4 linked regions of the Schizosaccharomyces pombe genome follow. The gene in region 1 interacts genetically with each later gene. Each region holds a gene or a part of one and is shown on either strand. Other genes may lie near its edges. The genes, in order: amk2, ftp105, ypa1 and wdr7.

Region 1 (3,891 bases):
GTTTATTGACAGGTACGAGCTATCTAATATTGCGGAAATGCATGCCGACAATTTAGGGCATGTTTTAGGAATTTGGGGTGAGACCGACTTGGAAGCACCTAGTTACAAATTAAATGGTACTGGGTCTTTTTTCTGGTTTGACATATATACGGACGATGGTTTGTTGCAAAAAGACTATATAGACACTATCATTCCCTTACACACACGTTATCAAAGCCCTCTCAAAGGACAAACATACTTAAAAACATCATTAACAAATCCCAAGTTTTTCTGGAATTGTGACACTGAAGACAAAGTAAATGATTTCAGATTTCTGTTTTCCAGTAAGAACAAATATACCTTACAAAACGATCCAACAACCTTAAGCATATCTATTCCAATAGCCGATTTATCCTATAAACATGTCGTAGAATGGGTGACTAATGGAGTCGCGATTTTTTCGTTCTTCTACCTATTGCTATATTTGTGGAAAAGGTTCCGTTACGCAAAGGATTAAGAGAATAACATCGTGAAGTGAAGTAACTAGATATGTATTTATAAAAATTAATTAACCTATGGATCGCTACATAGTGAAATATGAACTGGTTGCTTTGTGCTTGATATCACAGCGTAAAGTTTTCTCGAAACAAAATCGTGCAAATAAACCAATCAAATGAAGTATAATGATGGGATGTTTGAGAAATTTAAAAAAATAAATTTATCATTAAAGTGATTATATACGTCGCGAAATATAAACAATAAATTCGACAGATGCGGTATGGCTAGACATCAAAATTTTTAAACATAGCAGTAGTGACATACTGGGGAAACAAAGTTAGTCAAGCAACGCGTATAAGGAACCGACTTACCTTTCGATGATAGCGCGTAGTAGCACTTAAAGCGAGAACGCCTAACTGGGTATTTGCAGCTGCTAAATGGTTTAAAAGGACGTGATTAGGATTTGGCAAGACAGACTGATCCTCCTTATAGGCAGTATTTGAGTTAAGGATACACTTCTCAAGATGAGGAGGTAGAGAAGGGGGCTTTGGCAACTTCAACTCTTGAAGGGTGTTGCTAGTAAGAAAAGCTGGTATCTCCGTAGAATATTGCTCAGATTCAGACTTTTCCTCCATCGGAAGGTCCGTATGAACTTGACTCAATCTTTCATCAATACTAGCGCCTAACTTCTCATTAGCTTCCACCTCGAGGTAGTTGTAAAGGTTGCCTTCCGCATCGGTGGCAGTTGGAAAATCTGAAGAACAGCACCATATACCATCAACCAAGAATTTAAAACGCTGAGTTCCAGGACGTAATTGCAAAAGGACAGTGTAATCTTCGCTATTTGGCGAAAAAGTTAGCAAGCTTAAAACAGGATAAACAACCTATAAAGGGAGGCTCAAATATAGAAAAAAGCACACCATGAAAAACTCATACCTTTTCAGTAATTGGATTTTTTTCTTCCAACGAGAAAACGATCCAGTGACATAAACAACTTCACCGCCTCCTCTCCATCGAATAATGGTTGGCACACAAGGACCTATATGTGTAAGTAATTAAATTGTCAATTGCAAAAAATCTCCTTTCTGAAAACTATTGCAAACAAACGTTAAGGTCAACAGCTTAAATGATAATGCAATGTTACGGTAAATCACCCTTGTTACATAAGGATGTCAAGCAATCAAATAAACCGGTCTTAAAGAAACTTACCAGAATAAGGCTGATGTGTCTTCTTGCCTGAAGTTTGAGAACGGCGTTTCGTATGACCACTCGATCCTGAAGTTCCGTTTTGGGAAGTACGATTATTACCGCCTTCCTGCTGATTATCATCCGACATTTCACCTTCTTGATTCAAATCATCTGCAGCAATACTAATCATGCTTTGGGCACGTGGTTCTTTTGGAACGTTATTTGCATTGTCAGGCGTTGTTGTGGCATCTTGAGAAGGGACAGCATGTGCGCGAGTCTCTCCTAACATTAAATTAGATACTTATTTCACATGTGTTTAACTTAAAGGACATTACCCTCCTGAGATTGAACATTTCCCATTTTGAAATGATGTAAAGTAGTTTGTTCTGGCTTTGTAGCTCATCACTTTGAACTAAACCCCAACGAGCATGAAATAAGGTTATTTATTGTATCTAAGCTATCATTAAATAGTGGAAGCTAAAGTGCAGCGTTATTCACAGTTAAACGCTTCGTACTGTTTTGCAGCTTTATCAAAGAAAACATTAATTGAAAATCCATTTATTATAAAGAATAAATATCTAAAAGCTGTATGATAAAAGCTGAAAAATTTAATATTGCATTTGGGACGTATAATACAGTTCTACAACAGCTATGTATAATCTTTTGAAGGTAAAAAGCAGCATGCTTCTCATTCTTAATGGAAATGTTTAAAAAATTATTGAAGCTACATATGAAACGATATAGAAAAATTTTAAACTACTCTGTGCATTGAGAGGCCTTCAAGTTAATTATACACTAAAAGCGGTTCACTTATAATTATTGTAACTTAGCGAGGCTTTAATTGAGTTAAACTTCCATAACCGAAAGGCCTGCATATTATATGTTTATAAATTAATGAATACCTTGTACATTACGCTCGTATAGCTTCATCTTTTTTAACTACGTTCTAGTATAACAATATATAAGTATGGCGCAAAAACTTCTTTCGTAAAAAAGACGCTTCTATTTCTCAGACGAAATCACTCAAATTAAGTTACGAACTTAAAAAAAGCCTGAATTTCTAGATATCAAATGCTCTATTTCCGTCAATTTTTCATGTCTACTTATTATGCTGCGAAATAAGCGAACTAAAATCACTGCATTGCAAAAACAAGAACAGTGTTTTCAATGAACGTACTGATTAAATACATTCCATATGAAACGAAGAATATATTATTTTTTAGTTAAATGACGACTTTACCAAACCAAACGTGAATTTTTGTTGCGATGAATCCTTCACTTTATAATCTATAACGAAGCAAAGTAGTGAAAACTTATATGTTGTTAGTACGCAGCTCAGTATTGGTTTAATGATACAATAAAGTATGAAGTATTGTTTTTTGATATGATATGTTCCATTACAAAAATGTCATGAATTGAAGTACATATGGTTGAATATGCTGTTAGAGTACTCTTTCCGTTCACCTAACTCAAACGAAATTTTGATTTCAGTGGTAATCTTTTTATGCTGTTTTAAAGCCACGAACACGAGGAAGGATTTGAAATAGACCGTTTAAATATACAAATTATACCCATACATATCCTAGAGGCTTTTAATGAATAACCTACGCGATTTATTGTTTGCTACGTAGTTTGGTATTTGTTTAGCGATACACTAAAATGCGATGAGTTTCTTTTGCGGGCTACAAGATAACGGTATGGGTATGCTTCACTAACAATATTATATTTATTGTTATAAGTCTACTAGTATTGGTGACCGATTTAGCTAATAACTGAACTGAGGAACGAGGTTCAGTTTGTCTTAATTTAAAGCATTGAAAAAACTATGTAATAAAATAACATCTTTTTATTATTGAACACTATTATAATCTTCTTGATAACTTATCTTGTAAGTAAATAGAGCAAATAGAATATTAGAGCATATGTTATAGTGTATCGTAGTGTATTTTATATAAGCTGACATTAATGTATTGTAGGAATAGTAGTATTTAGAATTGGTATGTACGCTACGCAGTTTGGTATCTGATTTAAGGATACGTAGAACTACGGTGAGTTTTCCTTGTGATCTATTATATTACAATACACAGGTTGTATAAGTAGCAACTGAGTATAGGTATTGTATTAACTGGGTTATAATGTTACCTATCACTAATATAGCTCATAACTGAACTGAGGAACGAGGTTCAGCAGTAGCTCTATTTATAGTATTCAGATAATATTGATCTT
Region 2 (6,482 bases), on another chromosome or scaffold:
ATATACATATGGCTTATCCTTGCTTTGTTTCGCATGAAGAGTAATGGTTTCATATGGAATTTTCCAGCCAGAATTCTGTTCTTCATCAAAAAGGATAAAGCTCTGTGAAGTTACTAATAAAGTTATCAATTTGCCCAAAGGAAAACTTTCCTCATCACTTCTAATTTTATAGGGGACTGTTTTTTCTTCAAAATAAACGATTTCTTGATTTGGCAACAACTTTTCACCATTTTCAACTTTGCGAATTAGGTCCTTTGGAAGTGAGTCAATTTTGGTAATCATAATTACTTCTTGCTTCCAATAGGTATTTAAGCATAAAAATTATTAAAAAACAGTAATAAGGCCACCTCTACCTGATAATTTATTGAAAGAAAAGGTTTACTGTGCGTTGTATTCTTTTGAAGTACTCAAATACAATATCTTCGCATATTAAGCATTTCGCAAAATCGAAAATATATTTCTACTCTTAACCACACGAATTTTTTATAAATTGAACCATTATGCCAAACAGGATATCGATTTTACTCAAATACTTTTGATATGCAATTTTCGTAAATGACAAGCTAGTTATTCATTGCAATTACAAAACAAACTCATGAATATAAATAGTTTTGTGGAAAAAATAAAGGAAAGGTCTAAGGTCTTTATGAAGTAATCCTCGTTACCCAAAAAATTGGGACTCAAAACTTTTGAAATTGGATTTTTTATTTTATATAGTAAACAGATTTATAAGTGTAGCGAAATAAAGCTAAGAATTTTTTAGCAACCAATTCATTGCTATATAAGGTTATACATTGATTTGGATACATGTAATGAATTAGCATCAGTGGATCGTTTCTCTCATAAAGGTGGGTCTTTCTAAAGTATACGAGATTGACTTTCAAACACCAACTTTCCAAATCAAACTTCGAAAGACTTTTTTAAAGCTAGTGACAAGGTTGGAGCAGAAGATTCTCCAAGCCAGTTTTTAGTTAATTAATAGAATGAAAACAAATCGAAAAGTTCAAAAATCAAAATTAGCAAGGCAAGATTCTGGTCATCAGTATATAATTAAATGATGGCAGTATGTGGATGCAAATCCTCCAAGATAATTTTTTAGTGAACAATTTAATCAATAAATTTTCAAAGTAAGATACCATAACATGCATGCAGGGTTTTCTTCAAATATTTTTTAGGACAAAAGTATACTTTAATTTACGCATTGAATTTAAGAATCACTTGTTGCGTAAACTGGAATCGTGGTTGACACTACTTGGCAGCTGTAAATACAGCAAATCGAGTTTGTCAAGTATAGATTTTGTGGCATTCTCCATTGAGTTAGAACTGTTTTCAGGAGATGCAACTTTCATGATATTTCCATGTTGTTTGTACACTTTAGAGGTTGTAAATAAAGAGGGAGTAGCCATTAAACCTTTTTCATCAAATGACAAAGTATAAAGCCAAACAAGACTTTGAAACCAATTATTCATAGGGACACTCCAAATAAAGTAGCGAAAATTGGGAACTCGAGGATGTACATCATTTAGCACAGAGTTAGCTAATAGTTTAACAGCTTCGTCAGTAGTTGATAATTCTTCATTCATTTTCTTGTATACAGGTAGAGAAAACTGAGATATAATGGCTAGAATAGAATCCAATTCAAGTCTTGAATGCCAAGAATTAAACCACGAGTTGGAAGGTGCAAACAAATTTGAGTCAATTTCTAAATCTTTTCCAAACGGATTGGATGCACATTTTTTAATAAGTTCTGAACTAGAAACATTTTCCGGTATTTTCCCACGCAACTTTCTAGACAGAACCAATGGAGAATCTGAGAATACATCTTGAAGGACTGTCGGGACAGAAATCGAAACATTTCTACTCGAAATATGTGATAAGCCACCGCGTGAACTACTGCTACTAAAAGGGGAGGAAAATTTATCTAATTCATCGAAAGGTGAATCATCTTCAACGGTAGCAACTTTTTTAAAGTCAGTATTTTGGAGTGGTGTTCCATCTAAGGAGGTGTTATCGGATGATTTAGATTCAAAATCACTACTTCCTTCCGAATTGAGGGCCACTAAAGGCTGTGATTTAGTCTGAGCAACGGCAGGAAGTTTCATAGAATTAAGATTCAAAAAAACTTGCTGGAGGCGAATAATAGAATAACTGAGATTAGGGTTTTGAGAAAACTTGTTTTCAACTATACTAGAAATAGCCTGTAACAGGTATTCAAGAAGCAGATGATTGCGCGGATTACGAAAAAGAAACCGAGGAGATGAAAGAGATGAACAGAGTTGCATTAATTTGGCACACGTAACGAAACTTAGGTTTTCAACAAATGGTGCAATATTGCATATGGTCAACAATATAACAGGAGATAAACTGCTAAACGGAGATCTCTTCACTGCTGAAATATGAAAGCTAGACTGGAAGGCGTAAGTAATAAAATTAAAATAAACAATTAATCGTGAATCTTACGATAATCAAAAACTCTGCATAAGACATTGGTGGGACTGAGAACCCAAGGGAAGACATCAATGATTGTGCATTCATACAGTTTCTATTTAGTTTTTCACAAAGAACCTTCTCGCATGATAAATAATGAACGATAAAAAGGCAAATGCGAACAAGGCCGGAATGTTCATTGTCTTCACGATATCTAAGTGCATAAAACTGAATAGAAGTTAAAAACTCCGTAGCATAAGGAGAAGTGATCAAAAATGCTCGGAAACGCTGTTTTAAATTAGTTAGCAAATATAATGAACGCGTAACAACATAAATTAAACAACTGTACAAATAATGTAATATATATAAAAGGACCGTTGAACATACTTTATTATATAAAATTGCTTGCCAAAGAAACAAAATAATTTCCGGAAACGCGATATTAGGCTTTTGTACAATTGAAATATAGGCAGAGATAGCGGAAACTGGTGCATTCAATAGCCGATATAGTTCGTTAACTAAAAATTCATAATCAGCTTGTAATTGAAGTCGAGAAAAATATAATCTATACTGATTTTCGATAGCAGCGCCAGGAGAAAGATTGAGTCTCTGTCTGAAGTATTCGACTGTTGTTTCATGAGGGGTGTGATCTAAAAAAAGCAAAAGGATTTGAGAAGTAAGTTTTGAGAGTGCAATGCTAGAATCATTATAAGGTACTAGAGTTGAATACGAAGCCTTCCAGCTATCAGGTCTAAGTCGCAAAGTCTAAAAACTAAGTTAGTTGTACAACAAAAAAAGGTAAATTTTAAGCCAAAACTTACAGTATTTATAAGGGAATAAAGAAAAACTAGTATAAGCTGCTTATTTGCTACACAGGTCAAATAAGTAAGGGTGTGAGAAGCTACTTCAGAAGATCGATACAGCCTTTTAGAAATCAATACTAACAGCAAACGAAGAACCTCAATGCGATTAAACGCAAGTTCCTTTGTGGTTTTCTCTTGGGTTTCTGTTGTACCAATTCCATTTTCCCTGCAAAAGTGATTAGTTAACACATTGCATTTAACCAAATATAAAAAAGCAAACGAAAAACAAAAAAAAAATATATATATATATACATATATACTTACCATATAATGTATGCATATTGCTCAGGACTTGAAAGAGGAAGCGTAAAGCCTCTGCAAAAAAGCAAACGAAAGACGGTGTCCAGCAATTCCTCCATTAAAGTTTTTTCATGAGTAAAAGTTTCTTCAATAGAGCCAATTTCTTTGATTGTGCTAGAACCACCTACTGATACGTCAGCGGCAGAGACGTCTGAAGAAGCATCAAGGGAGATGGAAGAAGCAGGAAAGGTGCTCACAGGAGATAATGGGACTGAAGGAGACTTCTGCGAGAATTCGTTCTTTTGGGAGATGGAATTTTCAAAATCTAGATCGTCTTGAAAATTACTAAGGTCTAATTCGGAATTTTCCTTTGGTAAATTTCTCTTCTTTCTAAGGCTCCACCAAAACTTTTGATGCCATTCTTCTAAATCGAGTTTCTCATTCAAAAAAGGAATGATTCTAGTAAGTAGGCGAATGCAGTTTAACGCTTCACTCGCTGGTGCCGTTTCAGGATTTGGAAACTTTTTGTCATTTTTCAACGCAAACAAACGAGATGTCAATACAAGCAGCAATTTTTCAAGGTTTACAAAGGCATGATCCCTCATCTCACGAATGAGACCTGGGGGAAAAAAATCGTAAACTTCTGGACAACTTTCAGGTACACTCCAAAGCTAATAAACATAAAAACGAATACATTAGTAAAAGCGTCTTACACAAGTTAATAAAAAAAATTTCATACAGAAACCCAAACTTCATCATCCAACGGTATATCCTACTAGAATTAGCTTGCAATGTTCTCTTAGCGTATCATCCACCCATAAACACAAACCGTACCGGTTGAGAAGCTAATCTTGCAATTCCTCGCTGAAATGCCAATCTAAACAGTTAGCTCATACGAAAATTTCGCAATGTTACTTACTTTGACTCTTGGCCTCCCATATTCTCTAATTAGATGCGAAAACCGTAAAGTGCTCTTGACAAACGCTGCAGCTTCATCGATAATCGTTAGGTACTAGTAGACCCGTCCATGTGTATACTTTATTCGCGCGCTAAGTTTCCAAAAGATGCATTATTTCATATTGCGAAATTTTATTATTGCTCGAGTTAATTTGTTAGCTCTACCGTACATTTAATGATCGTTAGCATTACGACGAATTTTCACATTTACAGTCAATGCACTATGACTCACTATTTGGTAAACACTTTTTAGCAAACTGCAATTTGTTAGGAGGCAGGGTAAGGAAAACAATTGATTACCATCACGAAATGAGAATTAAGGAAGAAATACAGCTTGTCAAAGAGACTTCAGCTACCTGCTGAACTGCATTTAAATGTTTGTGAGTTTTTGGTTTCTACTCGTTATCTCATAATTACCGTGCCATCAGATAAACCTCAAAGGTTTCTCAGTTATAAAAAAAACAAGGAAACTGTATAGCTGTAAACAATTCATCTACTGTATAACTCACGCGGCAAAACCACATGAGACATCTGTCGAAGCAAACAATGATATATTTACATGTTCAGTAGATGAATCGCTAGACTATGCCGTGATATGTTAGAGTTCCTTATATTATATACAATGAAGTACATTATAAATGGCTGTATTCAAATTTTAGCTATTTCTGTAAAATAAACAAAGCAGCTATCTATTTTGAAGTGAGATTTTTTTCCAATTTATAATAATTTCAATTATAAAAGGTGCTCTTTTTCTACTCTCAATGTACTTGAAATGTCATATATGTATTTGATATCGTCAAAATTGTCAATAGCAAGATAACTAAATAAATGAGATGATAAAGATCTTATTAATTAACTTGGTAGATGATTTTTCCTACTTTTTCCTTTAATCCTATAGCTGATTAACAGGTAATTATTAACAAAAAAATGACTTTTCTTCCATTCTTCTGATTGTTTCAACTCCACTCTGTTATTATGTATCTATTCTCTTTTCTTATCGGTATACCGATTTACGTTAGAAAATGGTAAACAGTATAACGAGAAACCCTCGGTTTCGGTTCATATCTGTATAAAATTAGCAGATTAGCGAAAAATGCTGGAAAGAAAATTAATCAAGGTCAGACATGAACTTGAATTCCTTATCTATAATCTAATTTGTACTTAAATAGAATCCTTTTTTTTCGGTCAACTTCGTACTGCGTTCGAATTTTTCTGGTTTGGATTTTTAGTGTTTTGCAAACATACCTTTACCATACACTAATACCCTAAAAATCACTTCGACACCAACTTACCACGAACCAAGTTCGACAATTTTCACCACCGGTTTTGGGAAAATGTCAGTTAGTGTTGCATTAAAAGCAAAGCCCATTGCTTATGGTGCAGTTGCATGTGCAAATTATGTGAATCTGTCTGGTGCAGGAAGCATTTCCGTCAAGTATGAGGACGTTGCTTTATTAGACAAACAAAACAAGGAATCGAACGTCTCCATTCAGCTTAACGGCTCTGATTCTCCTGTATTCGGTTCCAAGTTGGCTTTACAGACTTTCTCTCAAGTCTATCCTAAACTTTTCATTGGCGAAAACGATCGTTCTTTGGTTGAGAGTTGGGTGGAAACTGCCTCTGCCTTAGCTGGTAACCACAACTTTCTTGAGCTTTCTTCACTTCTTGCTCAGTTAGACGACCATTTAATTATGCGCTCTCTTTTTGTGGGTTATTCCCTCACCTCTGCTGATTTTTCTATTTGGGGTGCCTTAAAATCAAACAACATGGCAGCTGGTGCCGTACGCACTGGCCAGTATTTCAACCTTGCTCGTTGGTACAAGTTTATGGATTCTCAAAATGCCGTGAGTGTCACCATGGAAGAATTCACCAAGGCAGTTAATATTAGCAAAAAACAAAAATCTTCTGGTCCTAACTACGAGATCGGTCTTCCTGATGCCATTGATGGTAAGGTGGTCACCAGATTTCCTCCCGAACCTAGTGGATATTTGCACA
Region 3 (3,748 bases), on another chromosome or scaffold:
TCTTCAATTAATTTTACCAAAGGCTTCCCTAAGGCTAAAGTTGTTAAAGCATTGCGTGGTGGGCAAACTACATTTCATGGTCCTGGTCAAATACTTGCATATCCTATTATTGATTTGAAGTCCTTTGGATTAAGTCCACGTGAATATGTGTCAAGGCTAGAGCAAGCGATTATAGCAACATGTAAAAGCTTTGGCATCGAAAAAGCTCATACAACAAAAAACACCGGTGTGTGGGTAACAGAAAACGATAAAATTGCAGCAATTGGTATTCATTTACGCCGAAATATTACTAGTCATGGTCTTGCGCTCAATGTTAGTACGGATCTTAAGTATTTCAATTACATTGTGGGTTGCGGATTATATGGAAAAAACACTACCAGTTTTAAAGACCAAGGAGTTTTTACTGACTTAAAGTCTGTAGAGAAGGTACTGGTAAATAACCTTGATAGCTTTTTAATGAGTAAATAAATTTAAATGTATTAGAAACAGTATTACTTATAAAAAATATAATGCAATAACAGTAATGCTATTCTTGCGATAATTTGGTTTATTAAAAATTTTTTCAGTAAATTTGCGGGCTTTCCTTCCTTTTGGCCCCTATAAAATAGCTTATCAGCAACCATAAAAGATACAATAAATAAAACATAACATTAATAACAGTGACTATTTGTTTTTGAAATTGCACGAAAGATTAAAGTTAAACTACTTTGCAACTAAAGGGTTAAACGGAAAGAGATTTCCAAAATGAAAGTGTTGAACAACAGGATATTTGCTCAGCACTTCCACATCGTACATTTTTATCAATCCCTTGAAAGTAATTAGCTTAATAAATACACACTTCTTAACATACCTGATTGACCTTTGACCATATAGGAACAGCGGTTATATCATACAATATTGGGGAATGTTCGTAAAATGGGCCCTTTTTCATCACGTTTATAAACTTGATAGCACTAAAATACAAGTTGCTATTAGCTTTTTCATCCACTATTTTTTTGTTAAGTATAGCATCAGGCTTTATGATGGAAGATGATGCCTTATCAGCAAGTTGGGCAGAACCAAAAATATAAGGAATAAAAAAATGATCATCAAGCCCCCAAACTCCATGTGAGCCAGCAGGCTCTAAGCGATAAGTTTGAACGAGCTCACGACAAACTTCCAAGTAAACATGGGTTATGTACAAGGCGATAGCTTTATAATCTGCGGCATCTAAAAGTCCCAGCAAGTCCAAGCCCTTAATAAAACCCAAAAAATTTAACTCATGACCCGTACCAAAGTCAATTCTTTGAGAATTACCAAACGATCCCAAAAAATAGTCCAGTAACTCCACTTTTGCCTTACTCAATGAATCAGGAATAATGATGTCCATAATTTGAGAGGCGGAGTCACGTAGCTTTTCGTGCCATATTCGAAAAGCAGGATTACCAAACCGATGCCGACCTGATGCAGGTGGTACAGTTTTAGTAATTTCTTTAACTCTACACAATATTCGTACTAACTTTTCAACTCTTGTTGAGTATTCCACATGATAATCGTTCACACCCACAGATGCAATATTGAGACGCTGTAAAAAATCAAAAATTCGATAATATGCTTTCGATTGTCGAAACGCCGTCATATCGCTCGCCTCCACGATTAGTTTTTCGGGAGTTTTAAACTGTGAACTTTCATCAAACCTTTCATTTTCAAGCTCTAGTATTGTTTTCTCATCTACGACTTGCATTGTAAAGCAATAAACAATGAATCAATCAAGTTCGCGTATACGCCAATAGATTTACGACACTCACTAAGTTACAGGCTTTGATGAACGACTCTTTATTAAAAAAAACCAGGACCAAGTTAAAGAATATAACAGCAACTATAACAGCATTTAAAAACAGCTTGATATTGCTTTCATCAAGATAGAGTATAATAGCAGTATTCGAGAAGAAGCATTTAGCTTATTCAATAACTTGATTAAGATTAGTTTAACGATAATTAGTACTATGGATGTGATTATATCCTAAAATCTTTATAGTGATGTATCCATATGTTAATTCGAACCACTTCATAACAATACGCTACCGAAATAATTATCTCCTAATCAATATTTAACGATATGTTTATTCAATACAATCGATGCAAGAAACGAATATAATAATTTCAACCAGTTTTTACCAAACTGAAAAACAAATGGGGAGAAGCAGCAAAGATAAGGTATGTCTCGTGCGTTACTGAAACCTTGTAAATACTTAACTTTGTAGCGAAAAGTTTACGTTAATTTTATCGAAGTTATATCGTATATTAATGTGTAAACTTTAATGTTTCTCAGTCGCATATAGAAACATTTTAGTTTATTATTTCATTTTTTTTTTATTGCTAAATAATTATTTAACTATTTATTTTGTTAAAATACTAACTTTACACTTTTTTAGAGAGATGCCTATTATCGTCTGGCGAAGGAACAAGGGTGGAGAGCCCGCTCAGCTTTCAAATTGCTCCAATTAAACGAACAGTTCAATTTATTTGAAGGAGCAAAAAGAGTTGTAGACTTATGTGCTGCACCGGGGTCTTGGTCTCAAGTTTTGTCTCGTGAGTTACTCAAAAACATTGATACTTCCATTGCCGCAGATGAGAAACCTATGATTGTTGCTGTTGATCTTCAACCCATGGCACCAATCGATGGGGTATGCACCCTGCAATTAGACATTACTCATCCCAACACCCTTTCAATTATTTTGTCTCACTTTGGTAATGAACCGGCTGATCTCGTAGTTAGTGATGGTGCCCCAGATGTTACTGGTTTGCACGACCTAGATGAATATATTCAAGCACAGATATTGTTAGCTGCATTTAATTTAGCGGTTTGTGTTTTAAAGCCTGGTGGGAAATTTGTTGCAAAAATTTTTCGTGGACGAGATGTTTCACTGTTATACTCTCAGCTTCGTTTGATGTTTCGAAAAGTTTCTTGTGCTAAACCAAGAAGCTCTCGTGCTAGCTCTATCGAGTCCTTTGTCGTTTGTGAAGATTTTAACCCCCCTTCTAATTTTCAACCCGATTTAACAAAACCTTTATGTGTAATCGATCCAACCAATGCTCATGAGATTGCACCATTTATTGCATGTGGTGACCTTGATGGTTATGATGCGGACGCTACTTATCCCGTTGAAATAAATATGAAAAAGGCTACCTTAGACGTTATACAACCTCCAACCGCTCCTCCTTATAAACGAGCTATCGAATTGAAGCATAGCAAGATGATGTCGTAACCTATTATTCCAATTGTCTCTTTTTTATTTAATCTTTTCTTTCGTTTAATTTAGCAGTGGGTTTTACTATTGTATATTATATAGGTATAATCTATTTTTGAACCTATCATTCTTTTTTCATAAAAAAATTAAAGAAAGCAGGATGTGTTCGGTATACTTATAATCAGAATTTCCTCTTATGAATTTTTATCTAAATCAATTACTTTTGATACACACATGCTTTCGTTGAAAGACTTGCTAGTCATGTTTAACTTTATACCTTGCTATAGCAAATCATGGGGTTATGATTATAATTGTCATGTGGATATCATTTTCATAACTATAAGAGAGGCAACTAGTACTACTCATAGCACGGCCAACAGATACGAGTTCGGTAAATTTCATGGCGTTCTTATGAACCCATAGTATCATGAGGTGTAAGACATAAACAAACTTGGTAAACTATTCATCAATAATGATTTTTTCTTCCAAATTTGCAAAGTTTTGAAAAAATGAAGAGA
Region 4 (6,391 bases), on another chromosome or scaffold:
TATTACCAAAGATAAGGACGTAGAAGGATGTGTCCATTCTTTGAAAAAGATGAACAGGACCCCTTTTGCTCTGATCAATGCTGCAGCTATTGCTCCAAAAAATCATTTGCTGTCTATATCAAGACAAGAATTACAAAAGTAAGTACAGGTTAAGCGTAGTAAGCCTTATTTTCTAACTGCTTAATTTAGATGCTTTGAAACAAATGTGATCGGACAGCTGGCAATTACATCTGCATTATTTCCTCTCCTTTTACAAGATCCAAATCCTCATGTGGTCAACATAGCATCCTCCTTGGCTTATTTTAGTGCGATGGGAGTCGGTAAGTGGGGTTGATTTTATAAAATTTGCTTTTCCTTTCTAACGTGATTAACAGGTGCCTATTCATCTTCAAAAGCGGCACTAGTTTCGCTACATGAAACATTAGAGGAAGAGGTTTTATCACAGCATCCCAACTTCAAGTTTTCTCTTTATGTTTTAGGGCAAATTAAATCTACAATGTTCGAAAAAGATACCCCAAACAGAGTATTAGCCCCTCTACTAGAACCTCAAAACTTAGCAAAAATTATTATTCAAAACTTATATACAAACAAATCGGGTCGTTTTTACTATCCATTTTACGCACGTTTTATGCCTCTACTGAGGTTTTTCCCACTTCCAATACAAAAATTGGCTCGTCTATTTAGTGGCATGGATAAAATTTATTCATAATCCACCTACAAGTCAATGATAGCAAAGGTGCTCCCAATATGGACTTCTGCTGATGACTGGCTAATCCATAGGACTTCAGGAATTTCAACCTCATTCGTTTTGTTAGTTTGTAATAATATACGTTTTCGGATCGTTAATGAAGGTGTTGATAAGTTCAAGAATTTTACGAAATCTTGGCTGTATTTCCAAATAATGCATTCCTTTTGCGTAGCACTGACTCCAACAAAATAGTCACCAGAAGGACTGGCGGACAATACCTGAATATCACATTCGGCGTTTTCCTTGCTGACGACTTTCCTTCTTTTAGCTATTTCATAAACCACAAGATCACCATCGTCAATGTAGGAATATTTTTCCACCTTACTATCAAAACATGCAAATGGAAATTGGGTTGCAATTGCGTTAGTAACGTCGTGAACTTCTTCAACCGAGCGGCTAGAGTAAAGGATTGGAAGTAATTTTTCCGTGATCAATTGATTAAATAAAGAAAATTCGGATTGTGTGTTTTCAATTGCCAAAGACACAACTTTTAGTATAACGGAACGTAAATTTGATTTCATTTGCTCATAAACTTCATCGCATAAACATGTAAGCAGTAAAACAGCATTCGAAACTGAGACATCCACTATTGATCTATAGAGAATGCTATTTTTATCATCCAAATCCTTAGTATTCTCTAAGGATGACAAAACCAGGTTGTATATAAACTTTGCAGGATCAATATGTTTTGAAAACACGGAAAAACCATTACTCAACAGGCGAATTGCTGTTAAGTCATAGTCCATACTTTCGGATTTTTGTAATAAATAGGAAGACAAAAATTTCAATTGTGAAACATCAAATGCTGAAGGCCGTAAACTGACAATTAATGACAAGATGTACAGTGAATGTTGCACCTCCTTTTTCAGATAGTACTCTCCACCTGTAGTCGTAAAAAACTCAAAATAATAATATATAAGCCTCTGAAGTTCCTCTGGAGATATAAGTTCCAATGTTCTCGACAACATTGATTTAATTATACCCTGCATAACCTTGCCTGAATTATTCCAGACGTATGAAAGAACGGAAATACTGTAATCAACCGTTTTCAGGTCTTTTAACTTTAATAATATTCCTTCAGTCAATTTGGTATCGCTCAGCCCATCATATTTACATAAAGGAACCATTAGAGAAAAATATAGATATAACAGCAAAGCGGAACAATTTGGTGCAGTATTTATTATTGACTTCATTTCGGTGTCAAATCGAAGTATGGCATTTCCATCTGGCTTACCCACACCAAGATGCAAACTGGATTGATCAAAAACAGTACCTAACAACTGATGCTCCATCTCTATATCAGAGTTTAGGAAAGGAGGTTGGATAAAGTCAAGGAACTCGTCAATATACGTTTTTTCTATGTAATTTTCATTAGAAAAATTGAGGTTCAGTACTAAATCATGAGCGTCTAAAAAAACAGTAACCAAATTATCGGTGAGTAAAGCACAAGAACCATGATACAAAGTAGGGAGGTTAGATTTATCAAAAGTACCAATAGATATGAACGAAGAGTCAATAATATCTGAATAATTTCCTTCAGAACATTTTTGATCCACAACGTCCCAATTTAATAGTTGAAAATTGTCATAAGCAACATAGATTTGATCTAAATCGGGAAATGAGTACAAAGTTTCAACTTGAGCACCATCAGATGGCAAGTAGCTTAGACTATAAAAGTCGATTAATAACTGATAACACACTGATAACTTACAGATTATAAGATTCATCCAAGGCACACAATGAGCCATCTAAACTCATAAAAATAAATAAGCCTGATGAACCAGAAGATAATGATTTCTTTGCATGAATAATTTTAGTAATTGAAGAAGATTGCAAAGCACGCTCGCAGAGAAATCTCCATCTTTCACCCTGAAGTTGTTGATAAAAGTAAGCCTTTCCAGTTTTGGTAGCAACAACTAAAATTGAGCGTGAATGTTCAGTTTCAAATATTTTCATATATGTTACAATTCCAGAAACCCTTGTAAAAGAGTAAAGAGGAGCTGGATCATTGTGAAGGTACCAGTCAAACAAAGAAAACATCACTAAACCAGAGGTTGTTCCAAGGAATAAATTAAGAGAGTCCGTATAAGCGTAGGAAACAGCAGCTGTATTGCTCAACTTACAAAGATTGCATGAGTCTACGGTTCCTTCTGTTAACCAATTGAAAGTTATTTTTTCGGGATAAACACACAAACTAACGGGTTTACTTTTTAAAATGGTGCACGATTTCCATGGAAAATCTCCAGAATACTTAGAAATTAATTCGAAATGAGGTTCAGGAGATTGATGAAGTTTGAGTAAAGTTGAAGACGAAAGAGTAAAAATACAAGCCGTGCCATCAGCCAAAACAAATACAGATGTTATCTCTGCAAGTGAATATGAAGCTATAAATTTCTCATGCGATTCCAATAGTACTACCGCATCCGAGTATACATATAGCGCATAATTGGAAGAAATGCAATCTGCTGGTACAACATCAATAACCTTACCAAAAGTTGGTTTAACATCTGCTTTTGTAACTGAATTTCTTTTAAAAGTAAGAGCTGACCAATCAACTGACCAAAGAGATACAGATCCATCTGAATAGGCGACAGGGATTAATAAAGCTTCGTCTTTGAACGGAAACAAAATAGGCCAGTCCTCATGACCAGTCCAAGTCGCAACTATCTGAAAGTTGGAGATTCTAATGAGATATATTTTCAAAAAGGTTCCGGTAACAGCAAGAAAGTTGTTATTTAATCTAAATAGCTTTAAACATAGCCCGTCACACAATTGCAAAGTAGCTCGTCGGTCACATGTTTTCAGTAGCCATTGACAAAGTAATCTGAGAAAATGTTAGCAAGAAATAAGTTAAATAATGAATTTGATAATTGCTGCTCGGCTAATGAGAGTTGCTCAACATACCCAGATTCGTCGAGTGTAATGATTGATAGGTCTACAATTCCATCAGCTTCAAATGGAAGGCAAACTATAGAAGAAACGGAATGTTTGTGTGCTATAAATGTTTGGATCAAAGTGAAATGATTGTCTGTAGAAACGTCAAATACCATGACTTGGCCGGAACATTGGCCTACTATCAAATACTGATCAAAACAATGTATTGAAGACACGTCAAGGCCTTCATCTAACAAATGAGTTTTACAGCTTTTCGACAATGCAACCCAATCCATTTTGATTCGCAATCAACAACGGTCTAAGGCTGACATCAATTTTGAACGCTGTTCGAACACGGCTTCCCAAATAACCACTCAATTCAGTAATTGTTAAACCTTTTTAAATATAAAAGTAATTGAAAACGCAGAAAATGAAATTAAAACAATATTTAGGCAGACTAACAGTTGCCGCGATATTCTTGAATGTAAAATTAGCAAATTCGGAACGCAAACGAATAAACAAGATGCAACAAGTATTTGAGGAAGAGAATCTAAGAAAAATGAAGAACTTGCAACAGCCATAGACAAGAATGTCTAACAAATAGCCATGTAAACAATTCGTCCATCCGTCATTTAATAGAATGTATGCATCGACAGCTCCGATTGTATCAATCATTACATAAATCTCTTCATTCTTGAATTATATACAACTTACACTTCTCCAAAATTTATACCACTGCACACAACTTCGAATTCCACTCGGTGGTGGGAATGTGCTGCTGTGCTACTTGAAGCACGCGAATACTATATGACCTAGTTGATGGGGCGATGCCCTTGCTTCCAAATCTTGACAATACTTAGTAGTAAGAATACAGCGTACAAACGAGTTTAAGTTATAGTAAACGAGCATTATTTAATAACACAAAAGAGTATTGTTGTACATAGAAAAAAACCGAAAAAATTGCTAACAGTCTTATTTTATTCAATTTGCCAAATAAACAGAACATTTACATACTTCAAATGTTGTAAATTTCGCACTGCAACTAGTATTCAAATCTCAACCTGGAAAAACGATATAACGAAATTGAAATATACTTCAGACTGTAGCATCATCTACTGTACACGAGGCAAACTTAAGTCATAGTATGTGTAAAATAAGTTAACAATTCCATTCCAAAGCTGCAACATTTAACATATACCCTAATAAACTCTGCCGTCCCGATTACCGAGCTTTCTCAAGAATTTTGTAATCCTTCATTGAAGCACCTTTTTTTTTCATATTTATATATAAATATATATATTAATATATACTAAATTTTATTTTTATTTTTATTTTTTGTGGAGTTTTATACTACAGAAATACAATTGTCACGTTAAAAATTTCAAAAACTATCTATTAACTGCTGCTTTTTGTGTATTTATATATTTAATTTACTTTACTTCGTTTGTGGTGGATCTAAGTTATAACATTACGAAGCAACATTCTCTTATTGTAGTAGGAAGTAGTACAGTGCCGAAACTGAGGCATCATCACAAAACCCTTACTCAACACCATTTACTGTTTTATCCGTTTCATTAGATTTTTACGATATAATGAGCGTGGATGTAAGTATAGATCTAATGAATCTTTGCAAAAATTTTAAACTAATTACATAAAAGACGGCTAAAAGTGATATTCAAGCGGAACCTTCAACTGGGACGCTGGAAAATAAATCCTCTAAAACGTACTCAGATTCCGAGAATAATTCCACGTTGGATGTTTCAGCTCAAGTACTCACATTGGATAATAAATCCAGGATCTTATGTATTGCCGATGTTCGAGGTAAGTATGCGTTGTTTATGGATTTAGAGCTGCCAGCGAGAATTCAAAAGCACCCCATCGGGGGAATTATCGACGATCGTTTTACTTTTTAAGATAAGAAGATGCGAATTTGTATGCTTTTGCATGAACTTATCCATAATGGCTTAGCAGGAGTTGAAGCGCAATTGCTCAATTTACTCATTTTGTCATTAAAGATCCTCGTTGGTTCGTAAAAGAATTTTGTCCATACACTTTATTCTCCTTAGCTATTCCTATCCTTAAAATTACTACTCTTTAATACGCGTTTTTACTAATAACTATCCCTTCAGGTGAACTGAGTTTAATAAATAGCCTGGTTGAGGAAACCAATGCCTCCTGTGTCATCCACACTGGTGACTTTGGATTTTTTGAGCGATCCTCACTTCCTAGCATATCTGAACGGTATGTTTTGTGTCAAAAATTTTTATGTTTCATTTTTCTTTGTTCTAACCTTTTTTCAGTACTCTTCGTCACATTGTCCAATTCTCGCCTCTCATAAAAAAGCTTCCTAGGTCCAAAAACTTTGATTATTATCCCTCGAATCCAATTGGGGATTTGAAGAATAGTATTGCTTCTCACCCCGATTGCCTGCTTTCAGAATTACCTCAATTTTTGTCACAAGAGAAGAAATTCTCAGTCCCTGTATATGTAGTATGGGGAGCTTGCGAAGATGTGCACGTTTTGGAAAAATTTCGTTCTGGAGAATATTCTATTCCAAACCTTAACATAGTGGACGAACTTCATTCCTACCTATTGCAAATTGGAGATATGAAAATCCGTTTACTTGGTCTTGGAGGTCCTTATGTCCCTTTTAAGCTTTTTGACAATGGAGACGGTAAAGGAACTATTGCTGGTGGCCAGGGTACTATGTGGACTACAATCCTTCAAATGGGTGAACTAATAGAAACCGCTAAGAGCCTGCTTGACAGA

The links.
Region 2: mutations in amk2 (region 1) and ftp105 together harm fitness more than expected from each alone (negative genetic interaction), as found in Schizosaccharomyces pombe (3 studies listed by BioGRID).
Region 3: mutations in amk2 (region 1) and ypa1 together harm fitness less than expected from each alone (positive genetic interaction), as found in Schizosaccharomyces pombe (3 studies listed by BioGRID).
Region 4: mutations in amk2 (region 1) and wdr7 together harm fitness more than expected from each alone (negative genetic interaction), as found in Schizosaccharomyces pombe (3 studies listed by BioGRID).

What each region holds. Positions count from the first base shown.
Region 1 is NC_003421.2:2,206,975-2,210,865, forward strand, and holds amk2 (serine/threonine protein kinase AMPK (beta) regulatory subunit Amk2), read right to left. Parts: upstream 2,054-3,891; 5' UTR 2,026-2,053; coding exon 2,001-2,025; exon of another isoform or gene 1,948-2,000; coding exon 1,687-1,947; exon of another isoform or gene 1,517-1,686; coding exon 1,414-1,516; intron 1,318-1,413; coding exon 849-1,317; intron 801-848; coding exon 762-800; 3' UTR 511-761; downstream 1-510. Other genes in the region: pbn1 (GPI synthesis protein pig-X), read left to right, coding at 1-496. UniProt on the Schizosaccharomyces pombe protein: Beta subunit of AMP-activated protein kinase (AMPK), which is required for transcriptional, metabolic, and developmental adaptations in response to glucose limitation.
Region 2 is NC_003424.3:1,784,425-1,790,906, reverse strand, and holds ftp105 (Ubp5 interacting protein Ftp10), read right to left. Parts: upstream 4,538-6,482; 5' UTR 4,470-4,537; coding exon 4,450-4,469; exon of another isoform or gene 4,408-4,449; coding exon 4,365-4,407; exon of another isoform or gene 4,303-4,364; coding exon 4,270-4,302; exon of another isoform or gene 4,202-4,269; coding exon 3,555-4,201; intron 3,457-3,554; coding exon 3,249-3,456; intron 3,193-3,248; coding exon 2,815-3,192; intron 2,716-2,814; coding exon 2,461-2,715; exon of another isoform or gene 2,409-2,460; coding exon 1,215-2,408; 3' UTR 552-1,214; downstream 1-551. Other genes in the region: protein saf5, read right to left, coding at 1-282; gus1 (glutamate-tRNA ligase), read left to right, coding at 5,822-6,482. UniProt on the Schizosaccharomyces pombe protein: Required for the localization of ubp5 to the Golgi apparatus. Involved in detoxification of cadmium ion.
Region 3 is NC_003424.3:4,834,370-4,838,117, reverse strand, and holds ypa1 (type 2A protein phosphatase regulator), read right to left. Parts: upstream 1,924-3,748; 5' UTR 1,724-1,923; coding exon 851-1,723; exon of another isoform or gene 808-850; coding exon 703-807; 3' UTR 528-702; downstream 1-527. Other genes in the region: lip2 (lipoate-protein ligase), read left to right, coding at 1-468; trm7 (tRNA 2'-O-ribose methyltransferase), read left to right, coding at 2,173-2,196, 2,415-3,248; aspartyl metalloaminopeptidase Ape4, read right to left, coding at 3,690-3,748. UniProt on the Schizosaccharomyces pombe protein: PPIases accelerate the folding of proteins. It catalyzes the cis-trans isomerization of proline imidic peptide bonds in oligopeptides.
Region 4 is NC_003423.3:2,268,859-2,275,249, forward strand, and holds wdr7 (WDR7-like protein), read right to left. Parts: upstream 4,395-6,391; 5' UTR 4,337-4,394; intron 4,100-4,336; 5' UTR 3,919-4,099; coding exon 3,653-3,918; intron 3,573-3,652; coding exon 2,460-3,572; exon of another isoform or gene 2,417-2,459; coding exon 715-2,416; 3' UTR 710-714; downstream 1-709. Other genes in the region: SPOM_SPBC16H5.14C (DHRS family dehydrogenase), read left to right, coding at 1-138, 190-320, 375-709; SPOM_SPBC16H5.12C (uncharacterized protein), read left to right, coding at 5,215-5,226, 5,281-5,443, 5,752-5,863, 5,923-6,391.